2 linked regions of the Arabidopsis thaliana genome follow. The protein of the gene in region 2 purifies or fractionates together with the protein of the main gene of each other region. This does not show direct contact. Each region holds a gene or a part of one and is shown on either strand. Other genes may lie near its edges.

Region 1 (5,825 bases), on a different chromosome or scaffold from region 2:
AAAAAAACGGGGGCTATGATATTTTTTACATAGCTACAATTTCTTTTTCTTTTTTTGGGGTGAATCTAGATATCAGGCTTGGGTTCATTATTACTTCAGGTTTAGGATTAATATTGGATAGCATATATATCCTCTAATTTGTAATTAACTCAACATTTGATAACACGAAGATATATTCTGTGATTTGAAATTATCTATCATCAAAAATGGAGCCAATAACTTTGAAACAACACGTTTTACCAGTGATAGTAACACCACATTTGGTTATGTCATATGTGCTCCACGTGATGTGGTCCATGTGGATACAAAATAACACACACACAAAAAACTGCATTTGAGTTATTTTAGTCATTGCACTTAATATATATGCGGCATACTGGAGAGGATTAAAAGTCCTAATAACTCTAAATGTCTAAATTATAAACAAGTAAATTTATAACTACGAGAGTATCTCCCTACTCCACTTTTATCTCTTATAGCTTATTGGATTGTTGTTTTCGTAACAGAGCTACTACAATGTTTATGGAGGGGGGCAACTGCGCAATATGTCCTTTAAAGAAATATATAAAAGAATGCGAAATGAATTCTGTTAAACGGAGATAGATGAAGATTGTCTTCTAATGATTGCCACTTTCTGAGAATAGTATGTTACTGTTGATTGTTGTACCTAGCTCTAGTTGTAAATAATAATATCAAACTAAGTAACAAGAGCAACTTGTTGACACTAAAGGGACCCCAAGTTACCCTCAATCAAAAATTGTGGATCAGTTCATCATCGAAGTAACGTGTTAATTATCGTCATATGCTCCACAACATCGACTCCCCACCATACCCACTCAATAATGTCAATTCAGCTCTCTCTTTTTGTATTTTTATAAAGAATGTATTTAAATTTTCAACCCATAATTTATAGATTCATGATCATCTATTAATAATTCATTAAATACTTTTCTGCATATTGATTTATTTAAAAGCCGTACGCAAGCTCAAATCGGATAAGACTAAAATAATATCACCCAGTTAAGTTAACTAACTTATTTTATTTTGAATAGTAGTATTAATTACTTTTGTTCAACTACTCCAATACTGTTTATATCCTTTCGACGGTATTAGTTATTTTCATGTTTCACGCATTTTTGTAATTGCAAATACAGACACCTTTGTTGTAACACATGTTGATTAATTTTCCGAAACTATATACTTTTGAAGACAAAAATTTAAAACAAAGAAACCTCAGATCTACAGTTCCACCTCGTGTCTGACACGAGTTTCTATGCGATAAGATCGAACATGTATATCAGCAGACTTTACTATAGATGAACTCATATTAGTAATAAGATCCAAATACGGAAATAAACAACTTGGAAAGTGAATGGAAGTTTTAAGAGAAAAATCATTTCTAGAATTATTTTTTAGATCATTTCTTTTTTTGGAGCATCCATTAGAGTTTTGTTTTTAGACTTTATGATTTATTTTTCTTTTGTTATCAGCACAATAATTGATTTTCAAAAGATATTGTATCTTTTTTTTATCTCTTGAGAAGCACAGCACAACAACGAGCAATGCTGACTTGTCGGGGTCAGCGATTATTATTAGTCACCGAACGAATTTTTCTTGGGTTGGAGCCAAAACCTAGCAAAAAAATATCTAAGTGGGGGCACTACATTATTGTTTTAACACCAAGGAAAAGTAAACAACAATGGCCCATTTTTACTGTATCGAGAAATTGATCTCGAAAGGACAAATGTACCCTTCCACTTCGGGAATCCATTATTGTGCATAACACACGCTGTTTCACTATATATACTTTCACATAGGATCTCAACACTCTCACTAAACCAAAATCCTCAAAAGCCTATTTGGGGGATCATCAACCTTCTATCATCACCATGGATCCTTACAAGGTATCTTCGATCATATTCTTCTTACTTTTTCTTTGTTTTTGTGTGGTGTATGTGTATCTTAATTAGAATTAGGTTCAACTATATATGCTCGTTTTCTAAACTATTTTTTAATTGGATTGATGTTCTTAAATCTTAAGGGTCAAAATACTTTTTATGCTCAAAAACTTACTTAAATTCTGTGATCGCTTGAACCTAAGTTGATGATGTTGATTTCTGTTTTGGCTGGCTATCTTTAATTAAAACGTTTAACCACTGCGTGAGAAAGACACGCCACATGTGGTTTTTGTTGTTTTTTTCCTTAGATTAGAAGTTATTTTGTTGTTGTTTTTTTTTTTATTATTATTACACACATGTGTTCTAAAAATCGGACGTTCAAATGATATAATCGATTGTTTAGACGTCCGACCGTATATTATTTTAGTGATATCAGCCAAATCAGATTAAGTAATCATCAACAAAATGATTGATCAGATCTACTAAACACCTGAGTAATCAAATCTACACGTTTGATTAATCAAATTAAATAACCGATCAGTTAGATCTATACATATGATAAATCTTTTTTTACAACATTCGGTTAATCAAACCATTGTCGGTCGATCTATCAATACAAGTGTATTTTTTTTTCACATACAAAAAAATTATCTCACCGACGAAAAAAAAATAAAAAATTATTATGTAGATCCATCGAACAAAAGGCTTGAATATACGGAAGTCACTTAAAAGTGTAATAATCGAATAAATATTAGTGGATAAAATGAAATTTATCTACAACCCTACTCTCCGACATGTTACTGTTTGCGTCATCAAATCTAAAGCCTTTTTGGCAAATAATGGTCGGAAGACTACTCGTGTCGGGATGGACCACCCGGATCCGATCAGGAAACGGGTTTTGATATGTTTCGGGTTACGACAAAAAATTAGGGCTTTTTATCAAATCAATCAGTTGGTAGTAAAATTTTGTGGATTGTTCTTGTCGATTCCGTTTGATTGTTGACCAAATTTCTTCCTGGATTTTGTTGATAATCGATCGTATAATGGTGATTGCAGTATCGTCCTTCAAGCGCGTACAACGCCCCATTCTACACCACAAACGGTGGTGCTCCAGTCTCCAACAACATCTCTTCCCTCACCATCGGAGAAAGAGGTATCGTAACCCTGAATTTCAAGAGTCTATCAATAAGAATCGGAACTTGTTGGATTTATGAAAGAGATAAAACTGAGATATAGAGTCTAAGCTGAGATCTTGTTCGTGAAGCGTGATGTGATTATTTTTAACATGTGTTACTTCGTAATGGGCAGGTCCGGTTCTTCTTGAGGATTATCATTTGATCGAGAAGGTTGCTAATTTCACCAGAGAGAGGATCCCTGAGAGAGTGGTTCATGCTAGAGGAATCAGTGCTAAGGGTTTCTTTGAAGTCACCCATGACATTTCAAACCTCACTTGTGCTGATTTTCTCAGAGCCCCTGGTGTTCAAACTCCGGTTATTGTCCGTTTCTCCACCGTTGTCCACGAACGTGCCAGTCCTGAAACCATGAGGGATATTCGTGGTTTTGCTGTCAAGTTTTACACCAGAGAGGTATAAGAAAAGATTCAAAGTTTCCATTTTTAATCGTCTTTTAGCTTCTTTAGAATCAGGACTGATTTTTGTCTTGTTACTGTTATGATCAGGGAAACTTTGATCTTGTTGGGAACAACACTCCGGTGTTCTTCATCCGTGATGGGATTCAGTTCCCGGATGTTGTCCACGCGTTGAAACCTAACCCGAAAACAAACATCCAAGAGTACTGGAGGATTCTGGACTACATGTCCCACTTGCCTGAGAGTTTGCTCACATGGTGCTGGATGTTTGATGATGTTGGTATTCCACAAGATTACAGGCACATGGAGGGTTTCGGTGTCCACACCTACACTCTTATTGCCAAATCTGGAAAAGTTCTCTTTGTGAAGTTCCACTGGAAACCAACTTGTGGGATCAAGAATCTGACTGATGAAGAGGCCAAGGTTGTTGGAGGAGCCAATCACAGCCACGCCACTAAGGATCTCCACGATGCCATTGCATCTGGCAACTACCCCGAGTGGAAACTTTTCATCCAGACCATGGATCCTGCAGATGAGGATAAGTTTGACTTTGACCCACTTGATGTGACCAAGATCTGGCCTGAGGATATTTTGCCTCTGCAACCGGTTGGTCGCTTGGTTCTGAACAGGACCATTGACAATTTCTTCAATGAAACTGAGCAGCTTGCGTTCAACCCGGGTCTTGTGGTTCCTGGAATCTACTACTCAGACGACAAGCTGCTCCAGTGTAGGATCTTTGCTTATGGTGACACTCAGAGACATCGCCTTGGACCGAATTATTTGCAGCTTCCAGTCAATGCTCCCAAATGTGCTCACCACAACAATCACCATGAAGGTTTTATGAACTTCATGCACAGAGATGAGGAGGTACGTCTTAGTACACCACTTGAGCTACCATTGTTAGTCTTTTTACTTGGAATCAAAATTCTCATTTGGTTTGTACTTTTTACAGATCAATTACTACCCCTCAAAGTTTGATCCTGTCCGCTGCGCTGAGAAAGTTCCCACCCCTACAAACTCCTACACTGGAATTCGAACAAAGGTCCGATTCCTGCCATGCCTTCTCTAAATCTTCAAATCCTAAACTCAAGTTTATTAGAATATTGGTGCTAAGAAAACCTTTTAATTGCTAATGTTGCAGTGCGTCATCAAGAAAGAGAACAACTTCAAACAGGCTGGAGACAGGTACAGATCATGGGCACCAGACAGGCAAGACAGGTTTGTTAAGAGATGGGTGGAGATTCTATCGGAGCCACGTCTCACCCACGAGATCCGCGGCATCTGGATCTCTTACTGGTCTCAGGTCAGAACAAAAAAACACTCGGTCAAATTTCTACGTCCTTTTTACCAAGTTTCAGCAAACTAAAACATTATTTATCTCTCTGTATCTCTCAGGCTGATCGATCCTTGGGACAGAAACTTGCAAGCCGTCTGAACGTGAGGCCAAGCATCTAGAGGCCAATCTCCATATAAGCTCAGTCTATGTGAGGTACAATCAATCTCATCGATCTATCATCGCTTGGTCGTTAAATCCGTCAAAAAGATAATCACATGTGTTGTTGTTTCTTGTCTATATAATAATAATGCTTGTAATCCCAAAAACTCATGTTTCCTTCCTTTCTACTCTCACTGTCTTTGTAATCTCTTTTTACAATAAATCAATGTTTCTTGAAGCAGTAAACAATTTCTAAGATTTATGGTGGTCGTTATACATATTATTAATTCAGGAAAAAAAAGAGAAGATACCGTAATTGAACATGTATTATTTTAAGGAGAATCCTGAAATGGATCAACAATTGTCTAATTATGGTATAGTATCTGGCGAAATCAAAGACGATATCATCCACACGTAATTAGTTTGACTATTAATACGAGGATTATCATTTGGATAAGGATTAACAAAGACAAAACACATACGTGTTTTGGTGTTGAGCTAAAATAAGATATTTTGGCTCTCGCTATAAAAAAAAAATCGACAACAGTGCAGACACACGCCGATTTGCGAGATACACACAGTCTCACCTAAAAATCGCAAAAGAAGAAAAATTCGGATCAAAATTGTCTTCAAGCATCATGGATCCATACAGGGTACATCGATTGATTCTCTTTTTTTGTAATCTGTGATTTTACCTTACTTGATTTCGTATCGATTTGGTGTGATTTCGTGTTGAATCCAAAGTGTATGAATGATCTCTCTCTCTCGGTTAAAATGATGCAAAATTGGGGTGATTGTTCGACTTGTTGAGGTTTTTTTGTGTGAATCGATTTCTTTATTATATAGTGGAGATTGGGTTTCGATTTGCATGCGTTGAAGATTCCACTGGAAAATTCAACATGTT
Region 2 (6,282 bases):
GTTACTCAAGATTTTGCATGATTGCTTGAATCACGATTGATTAGAGGCAAGAATTTTTGTGAATTGATAAAATCAGTACATTGTTTCATAGCAGTTGATGTGAAGTACATTTTTTGGCGGAAAAAATCATTTTTTCATTTTGTTGATTTAAGTATTTTCAAATAGAAGCAAAATAGTCATTAATAATTAAAAGATAATATCAATAAAAATGATTACATGGGAGGATAGTACTAAAAAAACATATTTTTGGAAAAACATTCTTAACAATTTCTCTATATCTAATACGTAAAAACATAGTTTTACATACGAAGTTAAAGATTTAGTTACGTAATTATATGAACAGTTAAAAGACGTGAACATATTAAAGAAAAAAATACTGAAAAAAGCTTTACAAATAGAACGAAGTTGACCTAATTTTGTTGATTATGTAGATTTATTTTCGTAAAAGTGACCTAATTTTGTTGATTCGTGCGTTGGAGTTAGTATATCTTTGTCGTTTGCATAGTATCATCGGCTTTAGGGATTGACTATGTTTATGTTTTTATTTTTGTAAGAGTAGTTACAAGAAAAACTTCATTCAACAAAACAACAAAGACAAATTTTTGTTGTCGCAATTTATACTCTTTGTAGCTGATTGAGTTTGCAAATACTTGCATTTTCCTTTCACATCATCTCTCAATCTCTGTTGGGTTCTTTCTCATTTTGCACTGAAAAGAAATAGAAAGCAGTTCACAGCTGTAGCCGCTTAAGATATCTTAATTTTTAAATTTCACAAGTGCATAGAGTACAATCATGCTTAACAATTTAACATTGCAAGATTAGTGCATTGAAAGTTGAAAACCATCACAATTCACAACATACAGACAACTCTGTTTCTTTGTCCCTTGAGCGCAAATACAACATTTTTGCTTTCTTTATTCAGCAAAATGCCACAGACGAGAACTTAGGTATAATTTCTATATACGTACTTAAGCCTGCATCGGTTTAGAGTGCAGTTTCAGCATCGGTTTCTACTTGCTTCTTAAGGAACTCCAGTACAGAGAGCCGCTGCATGCATGTTAAAATTACATTTGTCAGATAAAGTTTTACTGACATTCAGCAGCTTTGGATAAGATACAAATAAAAAGGGAGTCGTGCAAGAATCTTACCCGTTGCTCGAGAGCAGAATCTTCAGAGTCCAGTTTCAAAGATTCCAGCAGTCTCATGCCTTCCTTGAACCCATCTGTCGCTGCAACTTCATTTTGTAGAGTCCTGTCTATATCCGCAACTTTGGCTAAGGAAACAGCCACATCCAGAATCTACATAAAAAATGTAGAAATAACAAAAGAAATCAATTTCTACTTCCGGACAGACCTTTGCTTACTATATTTGAGTTCCAATTTCTCTAGGCAAGAAATCAAGTATAAAATAAGAAAACAAAGAGAAGATTTCCAACCAACAGAATAACCCAATTACAATGCACGTAAATCTAATTATATGTATCCAAAAGAGAGTAACTTTATCGCAGAGAATTAAATGACACCTCATCCAAGTATGTATACTGCAACGACAACACGTCAGTTACCTAAACCTCAGTTCAACCCAGGCAACAAAATAGCAATTGACTTGAATAAAATCTAGGAAACTATTTAGAGAATTTCTCTGAACATTCATGGTAAAGTAACAAATAAGTAAAATGAAAAGAGTGAACCAAGAAACCCGCTTGAACACATTGAGAACAAGTATACTATTTTCACTTTACATCGTATTTCAGATCCTTTGATCCACTAGCACCTTAAGTTAATCTCTATATCTTTTAATGCATTTGAATTCATTTTGCCTGGACCCAAATGAACACCAAGATGTAACAATCACATAAATAAACGCTTTCTGCCTAGAGAGTGAGAGATTACGATCTACAAAAGAGCCTTCACGAATGCTACAATAAGTCAATAACTTAGCTAACAACAGATATTTTTCTGCGAGACCTTGAAATGTATATGGCGACTAAGAGTAGCCAGTTCAGCTAACCAAACATTGGGACAAAACAAAGAAGAGCAAAAACAGAAAACTGTATGAGGGCACACTTACTTGTGAAGGAGCATTTGGGTGGTGCTTCATTGCATCACGTCTGACATTTAAAGCTCTATCATAATACGACCTTGCAGCTTGTAGATCTTCGTCATAATATTTTAGATCTCCTATTTTATTGAGTGAGACAGAAAGTGTATGTGTAATCTGCAAGTTAAGTTAAAATTGTAAGCAAAAAGGTAAAAAGTTTTCAACATCAAAATTTAACAAGAACCAATGTGCTATAACCTCCAAATCATTCAACGGCAGTTTCATAAGGAATTCAACACTCTCTTCAAAATGCTTGACTGCAGAGCTTGAGTCTCCCATCGCTCGGCTGCAACAACAACAAAAAATAATTTAACCATCAAACTTAAGTCCCGGAAAAAGAAAAAATTCAACACACCAAACAGAAGATCAAACATTTTGGCCAAAATAACACAGTTCAGGAGGAGAAAATGATTATGTATAAAGTAGGTTTTTCGAACCAAGCATGTACTGTTGCTTCTCCTTTCCATTTATTCTGAACGAGGTGATTGAACCACAGAGAAAGATGTATGCAAATGATAAGAGGATACAGAAAAATCTGAATATATGAATATATTTCCAGTCAATTGATGTAGACAGGGTCCATCTAGAAAACCAGAATCTAGTTCAAACGAGAAAGAAATTATTTTAGTATTTCCCAAAGTGCCATGCGCACTCTAAGCAAGATGAAAGCAACAACCAGTCGACTTGAGAAACTATCAATTGAGGAAACTGCCAAGGAAGGGCCACATACTTGAGAAACTCCAAATTAAAAAAAATCAATTTGAACAACAAAGTGGCTCAAGCGGGATCATAAAAGACCACATTGGTGACCACATTCGAAAGCACCGTTGTTTTCATAATCTTAATTGTTCACAGAAACTCGAGAATGGATACATCTTAGAAATAAACAACTTGGGATAAAAAAGAAGACAATATCATACCTACAGTCACCAAGCATGCCAAGGACTGCACCAAGCTGTGAACACAACTCTGGTGTATTGCCCTCCCTCCCTAGTTGATCCCGAATGTCCTCGGTACACATTGCCAACCTTGATTTAGCACTTTCATAATTTTGGGCACTAAATGCCTGCGCATACAAGTTGAATTAGAACAAGATCTCACAGCGGGACATCATAACAAATGTAAGTGGTGCAAAAGAGAATAATCCCATCGGTTAGGTCAACAAAATTTAGAGACAGAACTCACCCTCATAGCTTGTTGCACCAAGAAAGAACCTCTTTCCATGGAAACGTCAGCGTAAATCACTTTTTTGTTATCATTTTCGACCTCTTCTTTTTCTGTTCCATTGACGACAGATCTCTTAATTCTAGCATGGCCTTCAATAAATTGATCAACCATCTTCTGAAGGTTTTCATCAACTTCAATACTTTCAATGTCAGCACCGCATAGAGGGCAGTCCTTAAACCGTGTTAAGCATACTCTGCATTCAAGAAACCACAAAGTATAAGAAAAGTAGACCCAATCATGAGCCAAAAAAGAAATAAGCGGCCGAGCAACTATGGCTTACTTGCAGAACACATGTGTGCAAGGCACACATCTACTGCTCTCATATAGAAGTGCTTGACATAACATACAGCTAAAAGGCCCAAGCTTGAATGTTTGAGAGTCATAGCCAAAAGGGCACTTGGCAGGTACCGTTGCAGAATCAGTAGAGTCCTTATTCAAGTTTCCTTCTTGTTCAGGACATCCTTTACTCCCATTTTCGTCAGGACGAGCAGATTTAGAAAAAGGGCAACCAGAAGCCGTCGTTTCCCCTTGCTTTCGAGCAGAGGCATCGTCGGGACGAGCAGCTTTAGAAAAAGGACAACCAGAAGCGGTAATTTCGCCTTGTTTTCGAGTCGACCCATCGTCAGGACGAGCAGCTTTCGAGAACGGGCAAACAGAAGTCGTCGTCATTCGTGAAGGTAGCAACAACCCTACAACACCTCAAAAGGAAAATTCAAAACCTAAATTACTAAAATTGCTTCCTCAAGATGAAATTCGAAATTGATTCTCTAGCTAAACTATCAACAGCTGGAAATCGAACATAGAAGAAGCTAATTCAGAAGTAGCTCAACAGAGAGAGATGGAAAAAACCTGAATTGGATTGGATTGAGATTAGATTTGGAAATGTCTCTTTCGCTGCTTCTCTGCAATCAATCAATGATCGATTGATAGCTCTCTCTCTTCTTTTTTCTGTTTCCGATAAGTTTTTTTTTTTTTTTTTTTGTGCGTTGGAATTGGATGGTGTTTTGTTTTCTCTCAGTCAAACGAAAAATAGATATTACTAAATGGGCCTGCGGTTTTTGTAGCCTATTTAAGAATTTGGGTCACTAGTCAATTTAAGAAAACCGTTGTTCTGGATTATAAACTGGTTGGATTTTTAATATTAATCAGCTTTTTTTTTTTTTTCACTGAAGGTTTAGTTTTATTAAAATCCACATCACAATGGTTACAACCCATTAATGGCCCAAATGGCTACATCACTTAAAGATAAAATTTTGCTCAATACACGTGTCAAACACAAAGATACGTAGATGAAACGTGTTGCAAGAAAAGCTTGGAAACTTTCCGTCATCCTTCGCCGTTAATTACTCCGACTATTGTAAACACAATCGACGCCGGAAAAAGTTTAAGCATCGTTTTTTGTTGTTGCTTGTCACCGGAGAATGTTGAAACAGCTACAGGCAATCTTAATATGCTGGAAACAAGTCTTCTTTCATTACATTGAACATAATTACCGATGAAGATTTGTTGTAACCAAAGATCTGAAGAACCAGTTTGAGAACATCCAAGAGAAAAAGCAGCAAATCCACCCGATCTGGTCGGATTAGATATCCGCATAACCTCACTGGAAACCACCGGAAACATAAAACAAAACAAAACTCAAGGAGCTAGTTGGAGACCACCGTTGAACGAGAAATTGTTAGGTTGGCACCACCAAACATAGATCAGAGAGATTTTTAAAAGATAAACTAAAGAGGACTAAAAGAAATCGGCATAAAACCGATTCACGGCAGCGATTCACGGCAGATGAAAATACCAAGCCAGCCAAAACCGCTAATGGGAGCCGGATTTACTGGACGAAAGCCGACCATCGCCGCATACTAAGCCGGTGGATGTCGGGCTGAAGCCAATTGAACCAATTGGACGGCCTTATCGGAAAATTGTAACAGACGGTTTTTGATACTACTAATATTAATCAGCTAACATAAGTAAACAATTTTTAATATTCAAAAAAAAAAAAAAAAAAAAAAAAAATATATCCTCTTCCTTCTCTCTTAAAAACAAAAGCACCGCTTCAATTCCGCCGGCGTTGTGAGCCACCACGGTCATGACGTCGGTTTGGCTTTTTGGTTTATGTTCAGTTATGTCTCTTTAAGTTGTGGTTAAGGAGATTTCTGGGTTGGTTTCGATTTCGTTTCCTCCTCAATTTCTCTTATTAGATCTATAGTTTCGATTGGTGATTTTGCAAATTAGCGTGGTTTTCTTCTCTGACTAAATACTCCCTGGCCTAATCACGATCGCTCTATGCCACTCACTGTCGGTGTTGTGGTGATTCGGGTTGGGTGACCTAATTTTGGGTTTCCTCACACAGCTTCAACAATACGGATCTAGGGCGAAATCCGCCCAGATTTTGGGTTCTTTCTACCGGTTCAAGTCGCATAGTCGATATCTCCGGCCACGGCGTTCTCGACGGTCTCTGCATGTTTAGCTGAGTTTCCACCGTCTGCCATCCAAAGTATCCCAAGGTTTTTCTTCTGAAGATTTTTAATTATCAAGTAAGGCAAGAAGATCAAATTTTCTTAAAGTGGGTGTCTCAATCTCCGACGAAATCTCCGATGCCAGTTAATTTTCGATCTTGGTTTATTTGGTTAAAGAGAGAACTATGTTTATGTGTAAAATCATCAATCATGTTTTATTTTGTCTTTCTACGTCGTTTCCCCATGTCGGGGCTTAGTGTCGGGGTTTCATTCCTCGCCGGCTTGTGTACCGGAGGATTATATCCTGCCGGCTTTGTCGTCCCGTAATTCACTCGGGTTTATGTATCTGATATGGTTTGTGCTGATAATAAAATTAGCTTTGTGAAAAAAAAAAAAAAGTAAACAATCAATCCTTTAACCGTATCCGGTCGGATATTTTCTAAGAAATGGTTTAGTCACCAAAATGTCATAACCAGTTGAACCCATTCAAGTTCTGTAG

The links.
Region 1: the proteins of AT3G54360 (region 2) and CAT3 purify together in Arabidopsis thaliana (affinity purification with western blotting; one study listed by BioGRID). This does not show direct contact.

What each region holds. Positions count from the first base shown.
Region 1 is NC_003070.9:7,141,253-7,147,077, forward strand, and holds CAT3 (catalase 3), read left to right. Parts: upstream 1-1,880; 5' UTR 1,881-1,889; coding exon of another isoform or gene 1,890-1,904; 5' UTR 1,905-2,661; coding exon 2,662-2,853; exon of another isoform or gene 2,854-2,954; coding exon 2,955-3,051; exon of another isoform or gene 3,052-3,206; coding exon 3,207-3,484; intron 3,485-3,576; coding exon 3,577-4,353; coding exon of another isoform or gene 4,354-4,438; coding exon 4,439-4,528; coding exon of another isoform or gene 4,529-4,555; exon of another isoform or gene 4,556-4,627; coding exon 4,628-4,789; intron 4,790-4,881; coding exon 4,882-4,941; 3' UTR 4,942-5,288; downstream 5,289-5,825. Other genes in the region: CAT1 (catalase 1), read left to right, coding at 5,560-5,574. UniProt on the Arabidopsis thaliana protein: Occurs in almost all aerobically respiring organisms and serves to protect cells from the toxic effects of hydrogen peroxide.
Region 2 is NC_003074.8:20,127,586-20,133,867, forward strand, and holds AT3G54360 (zinc ion binding protein), read right to left. Parts: upstream 4,329-6,282; 5' UTR 4,177-4,328; intron 4,017-4,176; 5' UTR 3,997-4,016; coding exon 3,608-3,996; intron 3,521-3,607; coding exon 3,286-3,520; intron 3,167-3,285; coding exon 3,021-3,166; intron 2,387-3,020; coding exon 2,299-2,386; intron 2,218-2,298; coding exon 2,071-2,217; intron 1,299-2,070; coding exon 1,149-1,298; intron 1,048-1,148; coding exon 985-1,047; 3' UTR 969-984; exon of another isoform or gene 708-968; 3' UTR 542-707; downstream 1-541. Other genes in the region: AT3G54363 (uncharacterized protein), read right to left, coding at 4,654-4,950. UniProt on the Arabidopsis thaliana protein: Has holdase chaperone activity that may fold catalase to a functional structure. Not required for the peroxisome import of catalases. Required for the activity of catalases and acts mainly at the post-transcriptional level.